Linked DNA regions of Nothobranchius furzeri. The protein of the gene in region 4 interacts with the protein of the main gene of each other region in a pairwise test. Links are inferred from orthologs where the notes say so. Each region holds a gene or a part of one and is shown on either strand. Other genes may lie near its edges.

Evidence for each region.
Region 1: the proteins of RNA-binding protein with multiple splicing (region 4) and dtx2 interact in binary tests that used the Homo sapiens proteins (3 or more experiments, as listed by UniProt). The two-hybrid records come from large-scale screens. The link is inferred for Nothobranchius furzeri from reciprocal best matches to the Homo sapiens genes RBPMS and DTX2.
Region 2: the proteins of RNA-binding protein with multiple splicing (region 4) and exosc1 interact in a two-hybrid assay, tested with the Homo sapiens proteins (2 studies listed by BioGRID). The link is inferred for Nothobranchius furzeri from reciprocal best matches to the Homo sapiens genes RBPMS and EXOSC1.
Region 3: the proteins of RNA-binding protein with multiple splicing (region 4) and small EDRK-rich factor 2 interact in a two-hybrid assay, tested with the Homo sapiens proteins (2 studies listed by BioGRID and IntAct). The two-hybrid records come from large-scale screens. The link is inferred for Nothobranchius furzeri from reciprocal best matches to the Homo sapiens genes RBPMS and SERF2.
Region 5: the proteins of RNA-binding protein with multiple splicing (region 4) and rbm46 interact in a two-hybrid assay, tested with the Homo sapiens proteins (2 studies listed by BioGRID and IntAct). The two-hybrid records come from large-scale screens. The link is inferred for Nothobranchius furzeri from reciprocal best matches to the Homo sapiens genes RBPMS and RBM46.
Region 6: the proteins of RNA-binding protein with multiple splicing (region 4) and grap2a interact in a two-hybrid assay, tested with the Homo sapiens proteins (2 studies listed by BioGRID and IntAct). The two-hybrid records come from large-scale screens. The link is inferred for Nothobranchius furzeri from reciprocal best matches to the Homo sapiens genes RBPMS and GRAP2.
Region 7: the proteins of RNA-binding protein with multiple splicing (region 4) and pin1 interact in binary tests that used the Homo sapiens proteins (3 or more experiments, as listed by UniProt). The two-hybrid records come from large-scale screens. The link is inferred for Nothobranchius furzeri from reciprocal best matches to the Homo sapiens genes RBPMS and PIN1.

Annotation. Positions count from the first base shown.
Region 1 is NC_091750.1:69,048,823-69,052,789, forward strand, and holds the start of dtx2 (probable E3 ubiquitin-protein ligase DTX2), read left to right. Parts: upstream 1-1,167; 5' UTR 1,168-1,390; coding exon 1,391-1,703; intron 1,704-2,249; coding exon 2,250-2,838; intron 2,839-3,967. UniProt on the Homo sapiens protein: Regulator of Notch signaling, a signaling pathway involved in cell-cell communications that regulates a broad spectrum of cell-fate determinations.
Region 2 is NC_091746.1:82,291,581-82,295,654, reverse strand, and holds the end of exosc1 (exosome complex component CSL4), read left to right. Parts: intron 1-929; coding exon 930-1,018; intron 1,019-1,089; coding exon 1,090-1,123; intron 1,124-1,210; coding exon 1,211-1,261; intron 1,262-1,485; coding exon 1,486-1,570; intron 1,571-2,941; coding exon 2,942-3,048; 3' UTR 3,049-3,574; downstream 3,575-4,074. Other genes in the region: knop1 (lysine-rich nucleolar protein 1), read right to left, coding at 3,951-4,074. UniProt on the Homo sapiens protein: Non-catalytic component of the RNA exosome complex which has 3'->5' exoribonuclease activity and participates in a multitude of cellular RNA processing and degradation events.
Region 3 is NC_091749.1:75,953,531-75,956,952, reverse strand, and holds small EDRK-rich factor 2, read right to left. Parts: upstream 1,955-3,422; 5' UTR 1,804-1,954; coding exon 1,797-1,803; intron 1,220-1,796; coding exon 1,111-1,219; intron 910-1,110; coding exon 834-909; 3' UTR 501-833; downstream 1-500. Other genes in the region: uncharacterized protein, read right to left, coding at 3,125-3,309, 3,394-3,422. UniProt on the Homo sapiens protein: Positive regulator of amyloid protein aggregation and proteotoxicity. Induces conformational changes in amyloid proteins, such as HTT, driving them into compact formations preceding the formation of aggregates.
Region 4 is NC_091742.1:66,831,331-66,834,830, reverse strand, and holds part of RNA-binding protein with multiple splicing, read right to left. Parts: intron 1,913-3,500; coding exon 1,785-1,912; intron 1-1,784.
Region 5 is NC_091742.1:95,090,686-95,094,724, reverse strand, and holds the start of rbm46 (probable RNA-binding protein 46), read left to right. Parts: upstream 1-1,239; 5' UTR 1,240-1,329; coding exon 1,330-1,348; intron 1,349-3,570; coding exon 3,571-3,738; intron 3,739-3,819; coding exon 3,820-4,000; intron 4,001-4,039. Other genes in the region: lratb.2 (lecithin retinol acyltransferase b, tandem duplicate 2), read left to right, coding at 445-600. UniProt on the Homo sapiens protein: Essential for male and female fertility, playing a crucial role in regulating germ cell development by ensuring the proper progression of meiosis prophase I.
Region 6 is NC_091745.1:28,876,855-28,880,354, forward strand, and holds part of grap2a (GRB2-related adapter protein 2a), read left to right. Parts: intron 1-1,885; 5' UTR 1,886-1,940; coding exon 1,941-2,018; intron 2,019-2,087; coding exon 2,088-2,179; intron 2,180-2,348; coding exon 2,349-2,468; intron 2,469-3,500. UniProt on the Homo sapiens protein: Interacts with SLP-76 to regulate NF-AT activation. Binds to tyrosine-phosphorylated shc.
Region 7 is NC_091744.1:9,163,095-9,166,594, forward strand, and holds part of pin1 (peptidyl-prolyl cis-trans isomerase NIMA-interacting 1), read left to right. Parts: intron 1-1,545; coding exon 1,546-1,628; intron 1,629-2,756; coding exon 2,757-2,865; intron 2,866-2,946; coding exon 2,947-3,057; intron 3,058-3,500. UniProt on the Homo sapiens protein: Peptidyl-prolyl cis/trans isomerase (PPIase) that binds to and isomerizes specific phosphorylated Ser/Thr-Pro (pSer/Thr-Pro) motifs.

The DNA.
Region 1 (3,967 bases), on a different chromosome or scaffold from region 4:
CGCTTTGACAGGCTTGCAGAGGCTGATGGAGACACGCCCCAAATTTTAACTGTCCATTGAAAGAGACGGAGAGCGCAAGCTTGTGATTGGTCAGGAGGCTGCTTCTTGTTTTTATTGGTCAACAGCACCGTCTTTGCCTCTTCAAAAGGTCAAAAGATAGCGGCAAAAACAGAACAGGTTGAAAAACGCATCGAAGAAAGTCTGAAAATATGAACTTTTATTCACCTGTGACTGAAGGAGAGCAAAGATATGCAGCAAGCGTTTTATTCGTGGACAGAAAAGATGATAAACGTGGGTTTAGAGGTACTGATCGCATAAAGAGGTGAAGATCAATGAGGGACAAATCTGTCCGTGTCAAAAAGTCTCTGGAATACATTAAAACAATGTAAACACAATACCATCGTGGACCGGCTACGTGACTGTAATGGTAGCAGGATCCCTCAGAATAGCACTACGCTCTCGGTTATCTTGGCGGGAAATTGTTTTGCAACACTCCCTAGCTGATGGAGAAATTTGAAAGCAAAATGTCTCTGTCAATGCGAGTATGTCTCTCCATCGCAGAGCTGAAGTATAAATTAGGCTTGAGGTGTTGAAAAGACAAACGCACAGATTGGTTTTGCTTTCTTTCTACAAACGGACACTAGGGGGTGCTAAAAGCAAGCCTAAACTGCCCAATCTCCCTTTAAAAACGTATTGGATCCAGTCACTAGGGGGCGCTTGTTTTGCTTTTGTTTCAACTTCTGTGTTGCATTCAAATGCCTCTGTTTTTACAAATCATTCAAAGTTTACTAGTATGAATAAAGCGTCAATTAATTAAATAGTAAAGCAAAAATGCTAACATTAAAATATATATTTGATCTAACTTGGGCTGGATTTTCAAAGATGCACAAGTTTACTAGTTTGCTTTAAATGTTTTGCTTGAGTTTGCTTTAAAGGTTAAAATAAAGTTATTAATCTTTAACGAAATTAATTTTCACGAAATTTTCATCCAGCTGGTGCAGAAAAATCACAATCTGCTGGAATAAATGAATTAATGTGTAAAAGGAGATCGGGTGAATGAGGAAGCTGTTTCCCATAGACCAGCGTTTCCGAGGCACGTCTGCTGAGTACTGCTATTCCCGACGGGCCTTGAAGGCAGCGGTCCAGACTGGAAGGCTCCATGGTGATGTTGTCACCACTCGGCCGCCTTTGGTCTTTCTGAACGCAACAGCTTTGTCAACATGAACCCGAATGTTTGTCTCGGTCGTGTTGGGTTCGAGCCTCGCCTCGGAACTTCCTTGTAGGCGCGTGCACACTTTCGGAATGGAGTTTTTAACGAGCCTAGCTAGCTAGTCGCTGCGTCTTCGTCGTAGCCACAATCAGCTAACCAGTTGTGTTGTTAGCGAATAACATGGCGATTGTGTCTGGTTCCTGCGCCCGGGTGAACGGCTCCAGAAACGGGCCCTCGCTGCCGGTTTTGCCGTCCGGTTCCGTTGGACCATCCCAGCCCATGATAGCGGTGTGGGAATGGCAGGACGACCAGGGCTATTGGCGGCCTTACAGCGGCCAAGTCAGCGCCTACATCGAGCGTTGTGTGTCCCGGCGCGGGCCCAGAGGAGGCGGAGGAGCCGGCTCGACGAGCATCTGCCTCGGACAGTCAGACCCCAGTCTGTCGCCCTACCTCATTGACATACCGAGCCTGAAGCAGTTCCGGCAGGACACAGGTGAGCACGACCTCTTCCTTTAATAACCGCAATAATAAACGCGTTTCCTCGTATCGTCACAGTGACCGGCCTAGCTGGTTTCGCTTTACATCAGCTGGAGGAAATACGAGTCATGTTTCTGGGCTTCATTCTCAGTGAAAACATCAGGATCGTTCTCATTACTCGTCCTAGAGCTGGACAGCTTAATCATGTTGGTTTGAATGATTAAACCGTGCAAATACTTAGTTAAATGACTGAGCTGTTAGAGCGTCATGTGGGAGGATGTTGAATAACTCAGGACTTTTACCTGACATGGCTTTGAAACGTGTGTTTTATACAAAAACCACACAAGAAAGGGGCTTAAAAACATTAAAAATATGAAAATAGATGTAAAGTCATCTTCGAGTACAAACGTTGAAGTATAAAATGGGTGAATAATGTGGGAAATACATGAAAAGAACAGTTACTGTTGATGAAGGTGCCAGTCTTGGGTCTTGACCAGGTAATGTTGGTTTAAGATGCTTTACTCACAAATACACACTAAAGGGTTTGTTGTTTACTTTCCAGGGACGACCCGGTCAGTGCGGCGCTCCCTGTTCGCCCAGTCTTCAGGCCTCGGCAGCGGTGTCTACTGGGAATGGGTCAACGATGAAGGAGGTTGGACTCCGTACGAGACCCGGACCTCCATCCTTCTAGAGCACAGCTACCAGGCCCGCCAGGGCACGGCCGACCTGGGCCCGCATGGGTACAATTACATAGTGGATCTCACCTCTCTGGCCCAGGTGAACAAATCCACAGGCTTCAGGCGCCAGGTGCGGCGACAGTGCAACCTCCCCTACCCGTTGGCCTCCTCCGGCCCCCCTGCCATCCCCTCAGCCCCTGCCTGCTCCTGCCAGCAGTGTTTGAGCCACAGCAGCACCGGACCCATTCCCAGCCGCTCACGCCATTCCTTTTCCTCGGGGAGTCTGAACCGACCCAGCCTCCAGGGGATGGGGTGGGTCGCTGCCGCTCACCCGACTTCTGTTTACTCGCCGTATCCCAGGAGACCCCTCTCTGTGGGGGGGATGTCCTGGGGCAGCCCCTGGCCCCCACTTGCCTCTGCTAGTCACATACCTGCGCCACACCTGGGCAGCTCCACCAGCGTTAATGGTTTAAGGTGAGTGTGACACATTAAACCACAGCGGGGGACTGAAGGATGTCCTCCAGCCCCCCCGCCCTCTCTGTCCTTCCTGTCTGTCTCCTCACTGACCCATCCTGTCAAACAGGAGGTCCGGAGCTCTAACACATCAGTGGTGTGTTTGTTTTGGCTCACTTCCCCTCATTTCCATCTTTGTCATCTGATCTTCCTTCTTCTCATTCCTAATGGCACAGAGAGCAGCTCCCAAAGTCAAACGACTAGCTTAAGCGGTGCAATGGATATGTAGCTCACTCTCAGTCCTGGGGTCTCAGTTTCCTCCACACTGCATATTAATCAGGGATGTGTATTTTTGAAATTCTGGCGATACGATACGATCACCATACAGGGGAGACGATACGATATATCACGATATATTGCGATACATTCAGTCAGACGTTACAAGCAATTTTTTTTTTTACAGAATTTATTGTAAGAATGTTCAATAAACAGTCCAAACTGATATATAACATGTTTAACATGAGGTATCTGAACCATGATGGAGGGATTTACATTTCAATGGTGGAAACAAAACCCGTTGCACACTGCTGCCAACTAGCGGGTGGCGATTGAATTGCACAAAACGAAAAGAAAATACACAAATGTTTGCATGTAAATTCTTTCAAGAATTAGATACACGGCTTTTGAATTTCAATGTAATATTTACAGGGGAAAAAATCACGATATATTGTCATATCGATATTTCCGATACACGGCTTTTGAATATCGATATAATATTGCTGGAAAAAAATATCACGATATATTGCCATATCGATATTTTCTTGCATCCCTAATGTTAATAATCCTGAGTTAATTCTAATTTTCTACATTTTTGAATGTTATTCATGTTTAATGTTCCACCCTTGCACGACGCGTTTTTGTACTAATTATAGTAGATGTCTGCTTATTCTTGCATTAACTTTTTGATGATCTGTGAAGTAATAGTTTTGTAAAACCCAAAAAGCTTCGTCACGCCGGATTTGCCGACTTTCTGTTTTTAAAATATTTCTGATCAGTAAACAAATCAGCATAACACCAACATAACCAGAGTAGATAAAAAAAATGCTGTTTTTAAATAATTATTTCATTTATGAAGGAGAAAAATTGTCAA
Region 2 (4,074 bases), on a different chromosome or scaffold from region 4:
TTTTCGCTCCGAACCGTTCTTTGAACGTTGTTTCAGCTGTCATCAAGGATATAAACGTTACAGATACAAAGGACATCACTGGCGCTTTAGCTCACCTATTAAGATGTTGGACTCTCGTGCAGAAGACCCGGGTTCGATTCTGGATGTAAACATAGTTTAATTAGTTTCTTTTTTACATTAATGGTATATTTTTTACAGTAAGATACCCAAATTTTTATTTGAGACTCGCCGAACGGCATTGAATTCACAGATAAAAAAGATGTGGGTTCAACTTTCATTTTGGAACAATTTTTCAAGCAAGGGAAGGGAATGATCTGAGCATGCAGGAGGACTGACCCATCATAAACCTTTGTCGGCTGTGCTGAAGAGAAAGGTACAGAACCACATTATTTAATTAATTAGCTGCGTGTTCTCCTATCCTCTGTCCTCCGGGCCACACACACACACACACACACACACAAGGGACTGCCTCAGCTGTTATTTTCGTTAAGGAGTGTGCACGTACAGCATGCACGCCTCGTGCACGAGCCTACTATTGAAGCTGCCGTTACGCTTTTGGCCTGAGGGGGGCGATCGCGAGCATAAAAAAAGCATCAAACCTCTGTAAAGTCCCTTTAAGGACAGTTATTTTTGTATTATATGTATTTAGGGGGTGTTTTTTTTTACACAAATCAAGAAAAAAAAGTGCCTTTTCAAATAAAATGTATTCATAAATCACCTTAAAAACAAACAAAGTGCAACATAATAAACATCATACAAATGACCAAAAGAAACATTTAAGTTAAGCTCTTTATCATTTTTTACACCAGTTAAACTCAGATGATCATATCTGAAACGTGCACTAAAACTCAAGACGGGGACAGCCAGTGCATTCACAGATGTCAGTACTTTGTGTTCAGGTTTGCCTTTTACTAACTTGTCTTTTAAAGGTGACCAGCACCAACCCCAGGTTTGCCAAAGTCCACATCCTGTATGTGGGTTCCACACCGCTGAAGGACCGCTTCAGAGGGACCATCAGGTAACCTCACTACGTAAATCCAGTTTGATTAACTTTCCTAAACTCTTAGCTCACTCTCTCCGTATCTACAGGAAAGAAGACGTGCGAGCAACAGAGAAGGATAAAGTGAGCTAGAATTCGTACTTTTACTTGGATTGTTTACTTATTTTTGCTCCTTCTGTTTCCTTACTGATGGTTCTGTTTTGTTTACAGGTGGAGATATACAAAAGCTTCAGAACGGGCGACATTGTTTTGGCTAAAGTGGTATCCTTCAACAAGCTCTCCAAGAAAGAAAACCAAACAAATTTAAAAGCTATTTTCAGCTCATAACCCAGTTTCATTGGGACCTGTAAAATTTGCTGAGCTGAATGGGACAAAATGAATGAATGAATCTTAGAAATGACAGCAAACAATGTTCACATGTTACTACTGACTCCGGTGCTTCAGTCTGAACGTTACTGATTACTAATCTTGACCTTTGATGTCAGATTTCTCTCGGTGACATTCAGTCTAACTACTTGTTAACAACAGCTGAGAATGAACTGGGTGTGGTGGTGGCCCACAGCGAGGCAGGTACGTTCCTCACCTCTTTCACTTCATCTTTCCAAACTAAACAGCTGCTCAGATCTGACCAGCTCACTCAGGTTCTGCAGGAACAGCAGGGGGTCCAAAGTGGGAGGAAAAGATTTCTGATTAGAACTTAAGTAACATTATTAACTTCCATAATGACAGCATTACTGATTAATTCTCTAGTGTTATTTTCATCATAGCTAAATATTATTACTCTCAATTTCCGACCAAATGCAAAGATATTATCTATCTGATTTAGTAGCTAATTATTTGCGCTTGAAAACATTTCTTATCGTATTTTCAAGGTTTGAAAAGTGCTTAAAATTGGCCAAAAATACTTTAAGCTTCTTAAAAATGTAGTTGAATTCATTTTGTAAATCATCAACTAATAATTATCTATTTTTAAGAACTATTTTATTCAAAGATATTTCTTTATCTTGTGTCCTATGTTATATAATAATAGAGTTAAATAAAATATAACAATAATAAAGAAAAAAAATTTGGCCCTCACCATCTGTAGAGCCGCCACCAGGGGGCAGTAGACATGTATAGGACTAAATATGGCAGGTTTGTAGCAAAGTTCTTCACTGCACTTCTAAATGTACATATGTGATCTTATGGTAATTTTTTCGAAAAAAAAATAAAATAAAATAAAAAAATTACTCTTGAATGTTTAGATTTTTTTCTAACAATTCTTTTAAAGTAATTGTTCATTGTTTTTTGTTCACATACATGTTTTGATGTGTAGGCCATTAAAAGCTTCAGCAGAACTTGTAGCATTAACATTCATTCATTCAAGCTGCCTTTAAATAAATAAAATAGATTTCTAAAAGTAAAGTACTGGTTTCATGTGTGAAATGGTTTCAGCTTGAACACATAGCTGGAAAGCCTCAAAAATTCTCAACAGGTCTAAATTGGGCCATGGTGGCAAAAGGGTTAAGTGCTCGCCCCGTAATCGCAGGTTCGAGCCCCACTCAGTCTGTCGTTGTGTCCTTGGGCAAGACACCTAACCCCCCTTGCCTGCTGGTGGTGGTCAGAGGGACCGGTGGCGCCAGTGCTCGGCAGCCTCGCCTCTGTCAGTGCGCCCCAGGGCAGCTGTGGCTACATCGTAGCGCATCCCCACCAGCGTGTGAATGGGTGAATGACTGATTGTGTTGTAAAGCGCATTGGGGGGTTCCAGGACTCTAGAAGGCACTATATCAAATACAGGCCATTTACCAAATTTGCATTTGGAAAAAGTGTAAGAGCCTTTTAATATTGCTGACATGAAAACAGGTGTTTTCCGTCGTATTTTCCCTACTTTCTTTTCTTGTAAATAACTTCCCATTTTTCTGCATGTTTCTAACATTTTTACCACATTTTCCCCTGAACCAGGAGCCCAGATGATTCCCATCAGCTGGTGCGAGATGCAGTGTCCGTTGACTCACGCCAAAGAGTTTCGTAAAGTGGCTCGAGTCCAGCCTGAGTATTTGGAAGCGTGACAGCCTGGACAGTCTTCACTTGGTACACGCAACTTCCATCTTCCTTCAAGCAGCTCCTGCTCCAGCTTTTGTTTTTCTGTGCATCATGTGATTCACGGGCCACTTCTGGTTTAAGTGTTTCAAACAGCTGCACATTTTGTCATCCTTTCATTGTGCTTTTCTGACTGGTAAACAATAGCAGTTAGTTTTTTACCAGCAGACCCAAGAACACAGAAGTTAAACATGATTTTTATTTTTGGAAAGGGCCAGTAACGGTAGCTGGAAGAGCTCTACGCTTTATGGTTCGTCACAAATCGTGCTGGTGTTTTGCTGTCTTGGGCTTAAAGCTGATGAAGACATTTGTTCACTGTTGGAAAGCCCAGCGCTAAACCAAATGTTTGATGCAGCTACAGCGTAGAAAATAATGAAACGTTAAGTTACCTTCCTGTATATAACTGAGTCAACCGTACATAAGCCTTGCCTTTTACGAAAATGTACTTTGCTGTTTAACTTTCAAAAGTACAATAAATTAAAATGACTGATTCTACTTTGTCTGCAGTTCCTGCTTTGTGCACCTAACTATTCAATTGTTTTCTACAATCCTTCAAATTAAACATTTTGTAACTTACTGAACATCATAATTCATGTGTCACATTTAGAATTAAATGGCAAACTTTGGTTTTGTAGATTTATTTTTCAAAACATCAAAATGTATCAAAGCCATTAAAACTAAAATATTCACACTAACAGAGGCGTTGCTTTGAATTGTTTTACATAATCCGGTTTTGACACTGATGGTTTCATCTACATTTTGTACAACTCAGCCAACATTCGATCACCTCTAAAGTGAAACTAACGAGACTGAACTCATTTACAACGCTGATATAAAAAAAAAAGGTTTATCCAAACATCCACCTTCCTGATCAGTCATCAAAGCGAATTGATCGACTTGCATTGACATCAATGAAGAACTTTTTATTGGGTGGGGCGTTAAACCCAAGCCCCGCCCCCTTTTTACTGAAGTCCATTCTGCGTGAGTGGGCTCGC
Region 3 (3,422 bases), on a different chromosome or scaffold from region 4:
AACTTGGTGCTGAGTGTTTTTAGCATAATCATGTGTGTTTATATACATATCTATGGTTTCCAGTTTGTCCAAGGCTGACTCACTAATGCCACAAAGCACTATGGGATTTGTGGTCTTTCCGGCAACATGGGCCAGCAGGCCAGTGTTAATATATGTTTGATCTTGAGGGTCTAAGTTTGACACCTGTGACTTACTGCACTGAAACCTGGGGAACGACACACTCACCCAGTTTTGATTTGACCAAAAACAGCCAGGCTATTATTTGCTGGGATGTAAATATAAAATTGGGTGATCTTTGAAGACTCGAGGGATTTTGTGAAGTGTGTGAAGTCCAGCGAGGAGCACGGCAGAGAAGCTGCTCTGCGGCAGAAATTCTCCCAGTGTGTACTGACTCAAGTCACGAGTAAACCACTGCACTCTGCTGATGCCTCCAGTGTGAAGCGGGCATAACGCCCCCCAATAAACACGTCCACCACAGACATTAAGAATTACTCAGAACATGAACTAAAAAGATACAGTTTATTCAAAACCAGCGAGGGAAACACGTTTGTACAAAAATACACAAATGTTACATGTTTGTCAAGACTTGTTCAGCTTTAACCTGCTTACACCACCGATGCTCGTCTGCATGCAGCACCAGAGTGGAATAAGCCTTAAACCATAGTCTTAATTTCCCTATGTAAAATTAACAAATCCAAATACGTTGTAATTTTCCACTTGGAAGAATGTTGAATCCTGGATACTTGAGTTGAGACAAAAATGGGAAATTCATTGTTATAAATATTAGGAAGAAAGCTGAAGGTATGAGTTCTCAGATTCATCTCTGGTGTCGTTCACTTCGACTTTGTGCTGCTTTTCCCGCCTGATTCGTCTGCTTTTTTCTGCTTTTGTTGCATTATTTCAGCATCCCTTTGGTGGGAAAACAAAACATTAAAATAATTACTTTGACAGAACACAAACGGTGTTTTAAAAACACTCATGCTGCATGACTATGAACATAAGTGGAGTTGTATATAAAAAGCTATACGACAAACACCATTATGGCAGTAAATTAGACCACAGGACTCAATAAGCAAATATTATAGTGGACCTCCGTTCAATGTCGTTTACCTCTGTTTCCGTGCAGCTGCAGAAAGCCCGTCCTCGTTACGCTTTCCTTTAGTCTGTTCCGTTTGCTTTTTGGCACTTTTCTGGCGTGCAAGCTCACGTTGGTTTCCTCCTGCACAACATGAAATAAACACAATGCGGATTCAGTTGTAAAGATGCTCTAAAGCGGCTGTAATGAATCTAACTCGAGAGCAGAGAGCAGCCGACGTGGCAGAGCCGCCGAAGAGCAGCCCAACGCCAGCATTTAGCCGCATCCAGGCAGCCGAGTTTGCATGGACACGATCACGGAGTCAAATACAAAACAAAAGAATTTTAAACACTTCAAACAAAAATTTTATTATCTGTAGCTTTTTCTACTCGATTATTCTTCCGCTGTGTTCTTGCTGCAAGCTACAGGGCTAATACCAACATCCAAACAACCCTTTGACCCACCGATTCGAAGTCGTCTTACATAAGTCGTCCAAAGCACACACATACACTTTAACTTAAAACACCGAACACTTCATGAGTGGATGACGTTTAAAATCTTATTTATTAGCGATGATACTGTCATTTAACAGTAAATACTCCAATGAACCCCGTCTATTTGCTGGAACAGCAAGCTGACCCAGCAACATATATAAACGTTAACGTGATCATGCGCCGATCATCTAAACACTTTAAGACCAAATAAAGATGTCGTTACACACTTGTCATTTTAGCAACCGACGTGTCTTTCGGTCAAATTCCAGATAAGCTCAGCCAAAGGGCCACTGGCTCCCAGCACGTCTCCCCAGTCGCTTTTCCTGCTCTGGTTGCGCCGACAGAAAAAAGTAACTAGTCAGAAACTAGAACATTCCGCCCAAACACACCAACTGCGCGTGCGCACGCTCAGGCACGTCTGTTACGCTCGGTCCTTGTAAAAAGTGACGTACCGGGTGCGTCTTTTGGAATTCTAGGATGTCCAAGGAAGGTCCCGCCTTTCTCGCCACTGATTGGCTAGATGGACTCTACTACGATTGGCTACTTAATGAAGCAGCAAACCGTCTTCCCTTGCTAAGTGCAGACTGTCCTCTTGCCACCAACAGAACACATATTTTGGGGATTTTATTTTGTTTTTTTAAGAAAATAAGAACTTAGCGCCATTCTGCCCTCTTTTGCAAAAGTTTTTTTTGTTTCTTTTATTGAAAAACTGAGAAACGTAAGAAGTGAACTTATAAATCTTATTGCATTTATCACACTGTGGGACTTACTTTATGTCTATGGCTCTAAAGCACTGATGTTATCTTATTACAGCAGGGTGCATAGGAGAAATGTAAGAAATATAATAAAACGGCCCTATTTTACCCAGCCGTGTGCAGCAGGTCTGTTTCTCTTCTAGAATAATGAAAACTGCTGAAAAGGTGTTAGGGTTTAAATCATAATCAGCTTTGAACTAATTTCAATTAAAGATGCAGATTTAAACACATGAAAGACGTGTCCTCACTTTCATCCTGCTTGCTTAACAGCCTCAGCCCGTATTTCCAAATTGTTATCAAAAGGCATGAGCATGAAAATACGCCATGCCGATTACATCACAGATGTTATTGAACAAGTACAGAACACCTGTGTGTGTGCGTGTGTGTGAATAAGTATATTGAACTGCCAGCTATGTCACCAGCAAACAACAGAGAAAGGTTAGATGAACATTTGAGGGCGTGCCTATTACTTTTTTACAGTGTTGGACACACCAGCAGAGACACACTGGGCTAGGGAGTGTGGTGCCAGTCTTCTGGGCAGTGCACCACTCCCTTCTTTTTCCTTCCCATAACTGTGTTCTCTCCAAGCTCTCTTTGGAGGTCGACCAGTGATGAGTGACCGTCTGCCCCCCAGTGAAGTTTTACGGCGAGCAACAGCTGCAGGCTGCACACCGATCTGTGCGCTCACTGCAGACCCTTTCATGGCTGCGGTTTGATCTTACATGCAGCAGCACTCCTCATCCTCCCGAACGTACAGTGCTGAAATCAGACTGCTGTCTGTGTGTTTTTGTAAAGACTGATCAGACGGATGTCATTGGGGCTTTGAAGGATTCATCCTTTTTCATCTTGTCCATAAGGTAATCACACAGGGATCTAAAACTAGGCTCAAAATGCTCAACATCCAACTGACATTGTGATGCTTCTTTTTCTGCTCCAGATTGTTGTGGTGCTGGGGGAGTGGTTGCTTCAGCTTCTTCTTGGGTGCCTATTTAGCGGAGCACAGACAAGGACTGATATCACAAGTTATCACTGTTTGGTTCAATTAGTTTACCTGCCAAAAACGACTTACTTGTACCGAGTGGGTGTGTTCTGCAGTCC
Region 4 (3,500 bases):
AGAAGACCGGCAGGGCAGAGTCTCAGCTCAGATCAGGACAGAACCGGAAATTCTCCACAGTTCACCGTCCTTGTAGAGCAGCTGAGTACACCTCGTGGAGTTTTGTTATTATGAGGAACCAGAAAATGATGGAATGAGGCATCAGAGAGTTATAAAATCTTTCCAGCGGGTAAAAAAAAAGCACATTCACCTGCTCTGTGTGATGTTGGGACATTGGATTACAGAATCAAGTAGTTTTTTTTTACTATACCACAGATTATTATGGCCAAAAATCAGCAAACGTGAGACAGAATTTACGCTTTTAACTTCATGAGATTAGCTTAGTTTGTTTTGCTGCTGAGTTCCGGGACTGTTGCAGGTAGAGTGATGGTGCTTATATTGTTGCAAAGAGGAGAAACTGGGCTTTAATTTAAATGGCTGCTTCTGAGGACAGGATCATGTCTTATTGTTGCTACTGTGTGTTTTTCTCAATATGTGTATTTAGCTACTTTTCAGCCTTCCTTTTTATTGTCATTGCTGAGGTAGAAAACATGGAATCTATCATAAGAATGGTAAACTGGCATCCCCTAGTGGTGATATGTGGATATCGCATCTAACAGATGGCATTTCTGTGCCACACCCAAAATAAAATTCAGCCGCCACTGCTGATTATGTTCAATTGGAATGTTTGCTTTGCAAAGTGCCTTGATGGCGCTATATAAATTACTGAATTGAATCTGTAGCTGTGTTTCTAGATTATGAGGTGTGAATAAGTAACTATTAGATTTAGTTGGATTACTATTTTATTTTATGAATTGAATTAAAAAAACATTTACAACAAGTTAGTTTTTTAGAATTGGGTTTACATTACGTTTTAAAAGTACTGTTTAATTTCTTCTAAAAATCTTAAAATTGTTCCTTGTTAGGGCTCTAAAAGGCTTTTTTATCTCAAGGGGCAGTCATTTTTTCAAATACATGAAGTCAACGCGGAAGTGACAAATATTGCAGTTCAACCCTCATCTGGTAGGTGCTGGAACAAAAACAGAGAAATCCTCATTGACTCCCATGTTAAAAATGCCAACTTCACAGCAGAAATAAACATGTTTACCGCCTGGTTCATAAACCCATTTTAGGTTTAATAGATCCAGTTTACACTCATGGGTGAATTTTTTTGTCACTCTTCCATTTTAGGTGTAATTAAACGCTTGAAATTATAAATAATTACATTTGATTGACAGGTAGCGTGAGCATCAGAGCTAGCGCATAGCACTGTTTGCTCAAAGATGGGTTGAACTATAACGTGTTGTTGAGGCTGGCTGGGTAACGAAACATGAGCAAGGTAAGTTGACCGAGGCTAGCTAGCGGAGGCTTCCGCGCTTCGCTGGTTACACCATGGTCAAAGATCTGCTAGGTCGCCGCTGCAGAAGAGGTTTGCTGAGTTTCAGTAACATGCCCATCCCTTTAAAAGTGACGGACCGACAATCAGAGATCTGATAATCTGTTGTTCCATCCTCCCGGAGACAGCCCAACAGGGAGGGTACCCGGCTTCTCCGATATCCTGGCTGTTCCTTTCTCCTGAGGGAGCTAAGCCGTGCTGCCACCTGGCTTTCTGGCATCCTCTACTGATCGCAGAAAAACAGCAAGGGAAGTGACACCTACAACATAACGTAGGCGAAAATAAAAACAAAGCTTTGCTACTCTGTGTAGATAAGAACCAAAAATAATGGAGCGGGATCAGAGGGCTGACTGGGTGGTGGTGAAGGAGCAGCGACGGCTGGTAATGGGGAACAGGTGGTGTTGGTTACCTGAGCGTGGAGCGAGGAGGGGTAGGTGAAAGCGGGTGGAAGGGCTGGCGACAGCTCTGCCGGGTACAGCGGGTATGACGCCCACACATCTGGGCTGCTGGGATATAGAGCAGGCACTGTGAGCTCATCTGTGGAAAGAAGAGGAGTGGAGTGAGGAGAGTGGCAAGTGAATGGGTGGGTGGATAGAGAGGCAGGGTGGAGGTGGCAGTGATGGTGGTGATTGTGGAGGTGCGCACTGGGAGGGACTATTAAGTATCTGAAGTTGAATCCTCTTATCGTGATTCTTTAAACCAAAGCCCAAAAATGTCTGATCAGCTGACAGCAAGCCTGTAAAGATTCCTGCTCATGTTTCCCTCATTGTCTTTTTACGATAAAAGCATTAAAGTCATGATAAAGATGAGTAAAAACATTTAGCTGAAGAAGCTAAAACATCCTGCCTTTCCCAATAGAGTACTGCTCTGAAGCCCAAACCAGTTTCCTGTAAGCCCATGTCCCCACACACACCAGTAGTGCAGGGAGAGCTACCCTCCAGTAAACCCAGTTAGGAAAAGCTGTGTGACCTTGTATTTTCCAGAGATAAATATCAAAGAAAAATAAACTATTTTTTGTAATTATTGTTAACAAAATATAAAGAAGTAGGAATGTTTAGTATATTGTTATGATATCCATGCATAATGTGTGTATGATACAATAAGATAAGCTATTTAATATCACCAAAACATAAATATGTTGCTATGTTTTGACTATCTTAAATTTGTTGTAAAATGTATGCCCTGAATTTAACCGCTGGTCTACTTTAGAGTCTGTAGCTCATAGGATGAATAAAAGACCTTACAATAATTATTGTTAGAAATGTGCTTAAAGTGTTCATTTTAATCTTTTGCTTTCCAAAATTAAGCTAGGTGCTGTGACCGGTGCGTTTGCACCTCCAGTTACACCCAGCTGAGATGGTTGTCATGGTTACATAGCAGTATTGCAACTTACCTAGATGGGGATACTGATCAATAACTTGTTAGACCATTAAAATATTTTTAAACTAGAGTTAGCTAATGATGCTAGCAATAACTTGGTGGCTTGCAACTGCTGTGGTTGGATAGCCTAGCGCTCTAGACAAACTGTAGCGACAACAAAAACGTTTGCTCTGCAGGTTGGTTTGGCCACGCTCCATTGTAGCTTCAGCAAGCCTACCATTGGCTTGGTGTAGTGTAGATTCGGCCAATCACAACACTCTACAGCTTAGATGACCACTGCCCAGCAACGGTGCTCATTTGAAATGGCTTTGGCATCAACTTTGTATGATTTAGACTTGGGTTCCTTTTTGAGACATGAGCAGAAATATATTTCTTCTTCTTCTACGGTGTATGGCGGACGGCCTCGTTGTCTGATTTATGCTGCTATGAATCCATCATGTTGTTTGTTGCTCTGATTGGTCCTAGCGCTGTCCAATTGCATGCAGACAGTTTGAAAGAAAACAGTAGTTTCTGCCCCATGACTGAGCTGCATATGGGTCATGGCCATACTATACATTTACAAATATAGTACAGCTTGCCAAGCTAGTATTTGGATGGCTATTGAGTCAAATTAAAAGCTTACTTCAGTCTGACTTGTAATTTCCCAAATTTCTTCAATCTTTGTTGGAAAAAACATCTTTGTGACTCTAATTTGCTTACCTTCAACGCATTAACTGAAAGCTTTACAGGCTAGCAGCAGCAGCTA
Region 5 (4,039 bases), about 28 Mb from region 4:
CAGCCTGTGACGACTGGATTAGTCATGGAATTATTCAGGTCCAGACTCTGAAAACCATCTTTATACTTGTTTATTTATCAGATTGATCAGATCTACTTTAACAGAAACGGAGTTAATAAAAGAATCCAGCGAGCCAGTGCAGTATTCACAGGAAATGTCTCCACCTGGCGGTGAGATGGGAGAACTGCACGTCTGGTTATCGTCTCCGTGAGTTAAATGTTGTTTATTTATTCCTGCAGGAAAACGTTGATGTTTAGGCTGAGTTTCGGAGCCTAGTGTGAGCTTGTGTTCATGCAGCTGCGACCTTAGATAACTAGGTGTAGGTGAGGATTAAAGAGGACCGTGGTGTCGGTGAGCTCGTGAACCTGGACCCAAAATAAAGACTTAATCAGCTAAACTTGTACGCCAACATCTGACCCGGATGCTTCTGATTGTCTCCACTAGTTCTGTAAGACCATGAGGAAGCTGCTGCTGAGTCGACGCGTTGCCAAGGTAACGGCGATGCTCTCAATGTGCCTGCTGGTCTACCTGAGAGCTGTGAACACCTGGTCGGTCCTGCCAGCGTTCCTGCTGCCGTTCCTCCTCTGGATGGCCTCGTAAAAGGATGATTTCTGTCATATCAACAGATTTAAACCGGATCCAGTCCGGGCTTTTATGGTTCATGCCTGCAGCTCATAACATGACAGTTTTATGTTGTTTAACCAGTTTTTAAAATGCGATACTAGATAAATACTCTGATCTGATATGGATTCATTCAGTGAGTTTGTCAGAAAATGAATTAAACTTTCTCACATTGACCGTGATGGATTGCCTCTTGTTCTGCATCAATACTCCTTTTGTTTTTCTGTCATATTGTTTCGACATATTCACATATATGTCGTACATTTTGATTGATTTTATTCTTTTTATTGCATTTTCATTATTTTAACTATATTCCATTACTTTTTGGTTTATGTTTTATTACATTTAATGTAAAATTCAACTGTGATTTGTTTTAGCATAAAGTGACACATATTCATTAATTTTGGTTTAATTTACATTAATTGTGTGAAAACTAGTTTATTTTTTCATGTTTTGATAAAATAAAAATAAAATAAAATAAAATAAAATAAAATAAAATAAAATAAAATAAAATAAAATAAAATAAAATTCGAACACGGGCCGCCTGTTACAAACTTCGTCGCTGATTGGTGGAGGGTCCCGTCACTCCCCGCCCCTGGCTCGGACTGTTGCTAGGTAACGATTCTCCGGCTCTTCCCGGCGGAGTTTTAGCTGAACTCTGTGACCGAACTGTTGCTTCTGGAGATCCTGAAGCCGTTTAGAGGAAAAATGCTCCAACTCCGAGGCGGTGAGAGTCCAGTTCAGCTGTTATAACGTGTTTTAAAAACAAACGCGGTGGTTTGGTGAAGTTTGGGAGGATTTTAGCGGTTAAAAGGAAACTTTGATGCAGATTAATCTAGAGCCGCTAGCATGCTAGCTAACGTAACTCTAGCTGGTTTATCATTTAAAAAGTTAAATTGTTCATTCGTTGCTGATGCAGTTAGTTTACAGGATTAGATTTTAGTGATTTTTCTCGCGGGAATTATTATGGGATGGAAAAGGTTGCGCTATTAGCATTAGCTCACTAAGCTAACTCCTTACGTTCATTTCCTGAACTTGAAAATGAAGGAAAAAAATTATTTTTATGTCAAAACTGGTAGCGTTTATGACATGTTAATGACATTTCAAACAGAAACTTGTGTTTTCTACATGTAGAATTAAATGGGTCATAAACATTTCTGTTTCCATAGATTTAGCTGATTATTAGTGAAATAAAAACATGTTCCAAACCAGATTTACAGTGAATGTTTCCGGGAGCTCATCAGCATCAAACAAATAACACTTATTCATCCAAATAATAAATAAGAATAAACTCCACCTACTTAGTGATGAACTCATTAATGAGTTACTGTTTTTATTTTAGGTCCAGTGGCTTTTATCAATTCAATTCAAGTTTATTTATATAGCGCCAAATCACGACAAGAGTCGTCTCAAGGCACTTCACATAATAAACATTCCAATTCAGGTCAGTTCATTAAGCCAATCAGAAATAATGTTTCCTATATAAGGAACCCAGCAAATTGCATCAAGTCACTGACTAGTGTCAGTGACTATACAACAATCCTCATATTAAGCAAGCATGCAGCGACAGTGGAGAGGAAAACTCCCTTTTAACAGGAAGAAACCTCCAGAGAATCCTGGTTCAGTATAAGCAGCCATCCTCCACGACTCACACACACACACACACACACACACACACACACACACGCACGCACGCACGCACGCACGCACGCACGCACACACACACATTATCAGACATACATCCTCTAAATGATCCTTTATAATGAATGAGTTAGTTAGTTGTTTGTTTGTTTGTTTGTTTGTTAGTTGTTTGTTTGTTTGTTAGTTAGTTGTTGTTAGTTAGTTAGTTGTTGTTTGTTTGTTAGTTAGTTGTTGTTTGTTAGTTAGTTAGTTAGTTGTTTGTTTGTTAGTTAGTTAGTTGTTTGTTTGTTAGTTAGTTGTTGTTAGTTAGTTAGTTAGTTAGTTGTTGTTTGTTAGTTAGTTAGTTGTTGTTTGTTAGTTAGTTAGTTAGTTAGTTGTTGTTTGTTAGTTAGTTAGTTGTTGTTTGTTAGTTAGTTAGTTAGTTAGTTAGTTGTTTGTTAGTTAGTTGTTAGTTAGTTAGTTAGTTAGTTAGTTGTTGTTTGTTAGTTAGTTAGTTGTTGTTTGTTAGTTAGTTAGTTAGTTAGTTGTTTGTTAGTTAGTTGTTTGTTTGTTAGTTAGTTAGTTAGTTGTTTGTTTGTTAGTTAGTTAGTTGTTTGTTTGTTAGTTAGTTAGTTAGTTGTTTGTTAGTTGTTGTTTGTTAGTTAGTTAGTTGTTGTTTGTTAGTTAGTTAGTTAGTTAGTTGTTTGTTAGTTAGTTGTTAGTTAGTTAGTTAGTTGTTGTTTGTTAGTTAGTTAGTTGTTGTTTGTTAGTTAGTTAGTTAGTTAGTTGTTTGTTAGTTAGTTGTTTGTTAGTTAGTTGTTAGTTAGTTAGTTGTTTGTTTGTTAGTTAGTTAGTTAGTTAGTTAGTTGTTTGTTTGTTTGTTAGTTGTTGTTAGTTAGTTAGTTGTTGTTGTTAGTTGTTAGTTAGTTAGTTAGTTGTTAGTTAGTTAGTTTTTTGTTTGTTAGTTAGTTAGTTAGTTGTTTGTTTGTTTGTTAGTTGTTGTTAGTTAGTTAGTTGTTGTTGTTAGTTAGTTGTTAGTTAGTTAGTTAGATGGTTAGTTAGTTAGTTAGTTGTTGTTGTTAGTTAGTTGTTAGTTAGTTAGATGGTTAGTTAGTTAGTTAGTTAGTTAGTTGTTAGTTAGTTAGTTAGTTAGATGGTAATAAACCAGAGCACAGACATAAACTCCACCCAACATTGATGTTCTTTAACCTAAACGGTCTCTCAGATTGTCCTCATGTTCCTGTTGTCTTAACTCGTAAGGTGATGGTTCATGGTCTGGTGGGCCATGAGGAGGTTCTGGGTCCTGATGCGTCGGTGTTTGTCCTCTAGACAGTGAGAGATTGTCTGATGAGGACATGGACGGGGACCTGCTGGAGGCCAGAGACAACTTTAAGACGTCGTGTGCGAAGGAGGTGGCACTGCTGGCGCTGATGGAGAAGACGGGCTACAGCATGATCCAGGAGAATGGGCAGAGGAAGTACGGCGGACCTCCTCCAGGTATGCGGGAGAGTCCAGACGGACCATTAGAAGTCGCTCAGGGATCCAGCTGACCCGGTTCTGTGTGTGCGTGTGGTTCAGGCTGGGAGGGCCCGGCACCGCCGCGTGGCTGCGAGGTGTTTGTGGGGAAGATTCCCAGAGACATGTACGAGGACGAGCTGGTTCCTCTGTTTGAGAGGGCCGGAAAGATCTACGAGTTTCGCCTGATGATGGAGTTCAGCGGGGAGAACCGCGGCTACGCCTTCATCATGTTTACCAACAGGTGAGGGACCCTCTAGAGCCTTTGTTAGTCACGTCAGGT
Region 6 (3,500 bases), on a different chromosome or scaffold from region 4:
GTAAAAGTATTTTAAAATGAATCCTAACATCAACGGGCAGCCAGTGAAGCGCATCCAGGACAGGAGTTATGTGGTCAAACTTGCGCCTGCCCTCTAAAAATCTGGCAGCAGCATTCTGCACCATTTGCAACCTGGCTATTGAGCCCTTGCTCACACCGAATAGAACAGAGTTGCAGTAGTCCAATCGCACCGTAATAAAAGCATGGACCATCGTCTCAAGATCATGACGTGACAGAAATGGTTTGAGCTTTGCCAGCCGACGAAGGTGGAAAAAGGAGGAGGAGATCACTCCATTGATGTGGGTATCAAAACTAAGGGCGCTATCTAGTTTAACACCAAGATTAGTCACCGATGTAGACAGCTGTCCCTTAAATGACCCACAGTCAGTTAGGGAAGAGTCACAATGTATGCTTGGAGCAAACAATATAGCCTCTGTTTTCTGATCATTTAGGCTCAGAAAATTTTCAGTCATCCAGGTCTTGATCTCCCTCAAACAGTTTGTAAGAATAGAAATAGAGAGACCACTTGACGTGTTCAGAGGCAGGTACAGCTGACAATCATCAGCATAAAGATGGAATTGAACTCCAAGCTCACGACAGATGTCACCTAAGGGTAGAATGTAAATAGAAAACAACAGAGGGCCCAATATCGAGCCCTGTGGTACCCCCCAAGGTAGATCAGAGTACTCTGAGGAATACCTTCCCATCCTAACACACATTTTTCTATTTGTCAGGTATGATCTAAACCATTCCAGGGCTAATCCTGAAATCCCGACATAATGATGAAGACGGTGAAGCAGCACTTCATGGTCTATCGTGTCAAAGGCTGCCGTGAGGTCCAGCAGAAGTAGCAACACAGAATTACCGCTATCAGTCGCAAGATAGATGTCATTGAGTACTCTAACCAGAGCAGTCTCCGTGCTGTGCAGAGCTCTGAAGCCAGACTGGAAAGTCTCAAAAATGGCATTCTCGTCCATAAAAACCAAGAGTTGGTGATAAACACATTTCTCTAGCACCTTACTCAAGAGCTCTGGTTGTAGCTAGGTTGCTACCTCCGTTAGCTTAGCTCCCACCTCCGCGTTAGCTTTGGGTTAGTTTCAGGTTAGCTTGTAGCTAGTTCGACCGGGTGTCGTCAGTTGATCCCAGCCTTACAGCCCCACCCTCAGCTCCACCTCTCTTCCCTTTTGTGGAATTGTCTGGGCTTGACAGAACCTGTGACACGGTCAAAATGGCGGTGGTGGCCACCTCCCATTTCTCTTCAAAAATGTGTTATTGAGCTTGTGGAAACCCATTGTCCATATATGTATATGTCGTTGGTACACACACCGGTGCTCACATGGTGCTCTCATAAGTATGGACTTGGGCACGTTCAACACATGTCTTAAGGCTGTCGTTGCCACTAAATGCACTATGATATATTATTTTGTGATTGTTCAGTAAAACAATGATGATTTTATATTTCTTCATTAGGTTGATGCAGTGATGATGGCATGCTCCTGTTGTATTGTTGTGTGTCCCTTTCCTGCAGGTCTAGAAGCAGACTATTGTTCATCATTGATTGTTCTTTTTCGTGGATTGACAGCACACTGAAGTGCTGTGAACAAGAGCTCGGAGTGTCTGTCATAGGTCATAGGTCAGATAGCTTGTTTTGGAGACTTATGTGGCAGTGTTGAGAAAAAGCAGCATTAAAACACTCATTTTTACACTGTGAAGATACTAAAACCATAAACATATCAAGATAAATGCTTCCGTTAGAAACAAAGTGTTTAGTCAATAAGCGGATTTTATTATCAGATTATAACATTATGAAACATTTTCCTCTCAGATGGAGCCACGGACAGAGTGTAAACTTCCTTAATCTTCCTTCTTTTTCTTTGTCTCTGCAGAAACCCACTTGTCGTGGACCGCTGTCTCCTATTTTTCTAACCAACGCTGTTCCTAATGGAGTCAAGAGGAAAGTATGATTTTACTGCCACAGCAGACGATGAGCTGAGCTTTAGGAAGGGTGACATCCTGAAGGTGAGTCTGAATCATCAGGTGTCAGGATTTATGAGCCGATGTGGGTCCTGAATCTGTGTTCCCGCTCAGATCCTTAGTCTGGAGGAAGACTGGTGTAAAGCTGAGATAAGTGGGCAGGAAGGATACATACCCAAGAACTACATCGATCTGCAGCATCCGGGGTGAGATAGACGCACACACACACACACACACACACACACACACACACACACACACACACACACACACACACACACACACACACACACACACACACACACACACACACACACACACACACACACACATTAACTCAGTCCCCAACACAACAACCCACTGCTCGTTGTTCAGGTGGTTTCGGGAGAACATCAGTCGCGTTGCTGCAGAGGACCAGCTGAGGAACAAACCCCTGGGAGACTTCTTGATCCGAGGATCTCAGAGTTCTCCTGGAGAGTTCTCCATCTCCGTCAAGTAGGTCCACTGAGTCTCTGCTCTGATGTGAGCTCAACTTTAGCAACAGGAATCCAGAATCTCCCTGACTGTTGGAGACAGAACTGGGACAAAACCTGAAGCTGGAATCAGACTTCCTATGAAGCTTTTATAAGTTCATCTGGGTCACAAGATGTGAGCGAGAACATATTTCAATGGTGCTAATTTTTTTTATCACTATTTAGTCATGAAGTTTATTTATTAGTTCTCAATTTTATCTCGATTCTTCCTTAACTTGTCTCGTGCTTTTGTGCTTTCTGATTTAGAAGCTTGACTGGGTCAGGTTTCGGATGGGTTTTAGGCTGAGTCCAGATACCTGCACTGATTCTGAGAATATTCCGAGTAGTTCAAACATTTCCAACATTCCTGAACCTCACCGTTAGCGATGTTTACGAGGAAGTTTCCAAAGTGTCTCAAAATGCTGTGGGGTATCTCCAGTGAGTCTCGGGGCGTCGCTCCCTCGTGTTACTGAGGTTTTGCAAATACTGAGAAAAAGACAATTATTGCTTGAAATTAATCAGAGTTGTTGCAGACGTCTGAATCATGTCTCGGTTTAGTTTCTGAGGTAAAGTGTGAGACTTTGGCAGGAGTTGTGGACAAATGGTGAAGAAAAAGAAGCGTAAATGAAGCTCTCTGTAACTGACCTACAGCAGAAACATCTGTCTCAGAGGTTAAATTTCAAGTGCCTGAAGTACCTATTTAATCTGGTCTGGCTTCCGCTGGTAAATAACCAAATAATCTGGATTATGATCGGGACTAAAATACATTTCCTGTTAGAAAGACGAACTTCCTTAGATCATATTTTAGTTTCTGTGTGAAAGTGATTTAATTTCTGTTGGCGTGTTTCTTCTGTAAAACCTGTTCCTGCTCTGGTTTCATCATCAGAAATAATTCATCTTTTACACACATTAGTTTCCCAAAACTCTGCAAGACTTGTTATTAAACTAAATCTAAACAAGACAAATGAAACTGATCAGAGACAAAGTTCTGTCCTCTGAGTAGACGCTTCGGTTG
Region 7 (3,500 bases), on a different chromosome or scaffold from region 4:
TCATTTTTAAAAAGTGTTGAAACTAGCTGAAAATAGTGAAATCACAATGGCATTTTAGATCATTTTGAGCAATTTATGTATGTTTTTAATTCTGGCAAAGGCACAAGTCTCCTGCATAGATAGTAAACGTTCATGTCAATAATAGAAACAAAAAAATGTTCAAATGTGAGAAAGAAGCTGTTGTTTTCCCACTCGTTTACTTATTTATTTGTTTATTTTGGCATCCTCTGTCTTAATCTGGATTTACAGCTGGATCTCAAAGGTTCAGTCAGCATGCAGAAAATAGAAATGTACAATATAGTTAAAGGAAGAAAGAAGGAACAATATTTTATTCAGCACCTCTCAAGATAAAAATAAGAAGGCTCTTCATTTGGACAAAAATGTTTTTTTTAAATATCGTAAAATATGATCACCTCAAGGTTGGACTACTCCAATGCAATTCTGTTTGGCATTTCAAAAGCCGCATTATCTCGCCTTCAGCTGATACAAAATGCGACAGCAAGATTTCTGACCAATACTGGCCGTCGGCAGCACATCACTCCCATTTTAGCAAGACTTCACTGGCTTCCTGTGCACTACCGTATACGTTTTAAAATTTTATTGTTTGTTTTTAAGGCACTGAATGGCTTAGCACCACCCTACATATCCGAGTTACTCACTCCTTATGTGCCAGGCAGGACTCTCCGTTCAGGTGACCTACACCTATTAAAGATTCCCCGTCAACGCTGCAAAACCCGTGGTGAACGAGCTTTTTCTGTCTGCGCTCCAAAACTCTGGAATGATCTCCCGCTGCATATCAGACTCTCCTCCTCCATTGGGGTTTTTAAGTCTCACTTAAAGACTTACTTTTATTCTCTTGCTTTTACTACCTAGCTATTTTATCGATGGTTTATTTACACTGTTCTTTTACTGATTTTATTGACTTCTCATTGTTGGTTCTTTGTGTTTTGCTCTAGTTGTTTTATTCTTTTATATTATTCTTTTAACCTTATATGTTTTTACCCCTGTACAGCACTTTGGTCAGCTCACATGCTGTTTTTAAATGTGCTTTATCAAATAAATGGAATGGAATGGAATGGAATGATCAAAGTAAAAGTTGCGATTAAAAATGTGGAGGAAAGGGAACAAGAAACCGAATAAAAAAAAATAGATAGTTAGTGGATCCCAGGGGAAATGCAGTATGGCTGCAAGAGCAGAATGGAGAAGGAAGTGATGAAAAAGAGAAGAAACAAAATAAAATTTTATGCACAGATTAAAACTTTGCTTATTTTTATATTTTCTCTGTGGTCTTGATGTCAAGTTGTTGTTTTTGTTGTTGTTAGCCTCAAGGGCAACATGCCGATTATCACTTGTAAGTCGCTTTGGACAAAAGCGTCTGCTAAATACATAAACATAAAGTATTTTGCATTTTTCTCTTTACAAAATTGTTTATTAATGGTTTAAGTGAGCAATAACTATTCATTTTTGTCTTTTCTTGTAACCTTTGTAATAAAAATATAGATGCACGTTGAAATTTAAACATTTATGGGGTTTTTTCTCTTGCAGGCAAGGTTTACTACTTTAATCACATCACCAATGCCAGCCAGTGGGAACGTCCAGTGGGAGACGGCCGTGGAGAGCCAGATAAGGTGTTGCAATAACAACAACAATAAACTTTAATTACACAAGTTGGATTTTTTTTCTACTATTTAACAGGAAATGTGACATTTAAAATAAACTTGGCAAAAACAAAACATAAGGAAATTTGTTTTCAGTTGAATACTTCCAAGTTTGTGTTGCTGGTTTAAAGTACCCATCAAAGAGACTGATATGGAGGATCTGTTTTATTCAACAGTTTAGAAAATGCTGAAGTATGTTTTCTGTGACTGAATATGAAATAATCCTGATTAGTTGAATCAGTTTGGCTGCACAATGAGTACGTTTACATGCAGCCAATATCCGGGTTATGATCGGGTTAAGGTCGGCATTCGGGTTTCTGAGTTGTTCAGAATAACCCGTTTACAAGCACGAGTTACCCCTAACTTGCATAACCCGATGTAAATGCGGACGTTGGGGCAGCGTCAGGACGTGTGGACTACGTCCAGATGCAATATGCATCATTTCCGGTTCTTCTTGTTCTGGTATCCGTGAAAACAACAAAATTTTTCCCAGTTCGGAAGAGATAGCGACCGTGTTTGTTTGCGCTTTAGTTTCCTCGTCACTCAAAGTGTGGTGCTGTGCCACGACTCGCCATGTTGCTCCCAACTTGTTTACTTCTGGTGTTCTGGCGCATACAAGACGTCTCGCTACTCAAAAGACCAAGATTCCTTGCGAACAGAGCATGCGCAGAACACACGCTTTGATGGGGATATCCCGGTATGCATTTACACGACCAAACATTCGGGTTAGAAAAGGGTTACCCCAGGTGTAGTAACCGGGTTTTTAAAAACCCGGTTATGAGCATATCCGGGTTTCTGGTGGTGTTTACAAGGACCTGCGGAACCGGGTTATTGTGAATATTCGGGTTTTAAAAGGGTTACTGGCTGCATGTAAACGCACTGAATAACTGACTTTGACAAGACAGGCTGTTTATGGAAAAATGATGCATAAACTTTTCAGTCATCTTCTATAACTGCTTCTTTCAAAATGCTTTTGATTTCATGTGTTCAGTGCTTAATGCTTAGTATGAAAAATAAAATGGATCCTTAATGGGTCAGGTGATTGATGATTAGCTCTTTCGATGAAAGTTCTCGGCCATTTTTGTGTTTTTCTTACAGGTCCGCTGCTCTCACCTCCTGGTGAAACATAATCAGTCGCGTCGTCCATCTTCTTGGCGGGAACAAAATATTACACGAACTAAAGATGAGGCCTTGGAGTTCATTCAGAGTAAGTTAGACCAAGCAGAAGAGGAACGGAGGTGTCACTCTGCAGAAGTCTGATCGTTTCATGTCCTTTTTTCCTGCTCAGAGTACATAGAACAGATCAAGTCTGGACATGAATCGTTTGAGTCCTTAGCTTCACAGTTCAGCGACTGCAGCTCAGCCAAGAACGGTGGTGATCTCGGACTGTTTGGCAGAGGTATTAAAACATCACGATCTGGGTCGGACTATTCAGTTTAGTTCTCTGTTTAGATTTGTAGCCATTCGGATCAGTTGGACTTTGTTCCCAGGATAAATGTTTGTGTAGATTTTTATTATTTTTTTAAACATCGAGTGTGTGTGAGAGCAAGGGACAGGTTCAACACTTAACTTGGTTATTTACTAAAACCAACACCTTCTCCCGGTGTTATAGTTTTGCTTTTAACTGTAATACCCCAAAAAGTTTTCCTCTAATAAGTCTGAAGTAACAATAAAATCAAAGTGAAGATTTTTCTGAAAGTCTTAATATAACTGTCTGTAGATGAAAGAAACTGGTTTATAGAGACCAAGATGTTTTGGAAGTCTTATTTGTTTCAGATTGTAAACTTAAAATAATCAGAAAACACAGCTTTTTGTGTGGAAAAATAAAAACTCATTTATAAC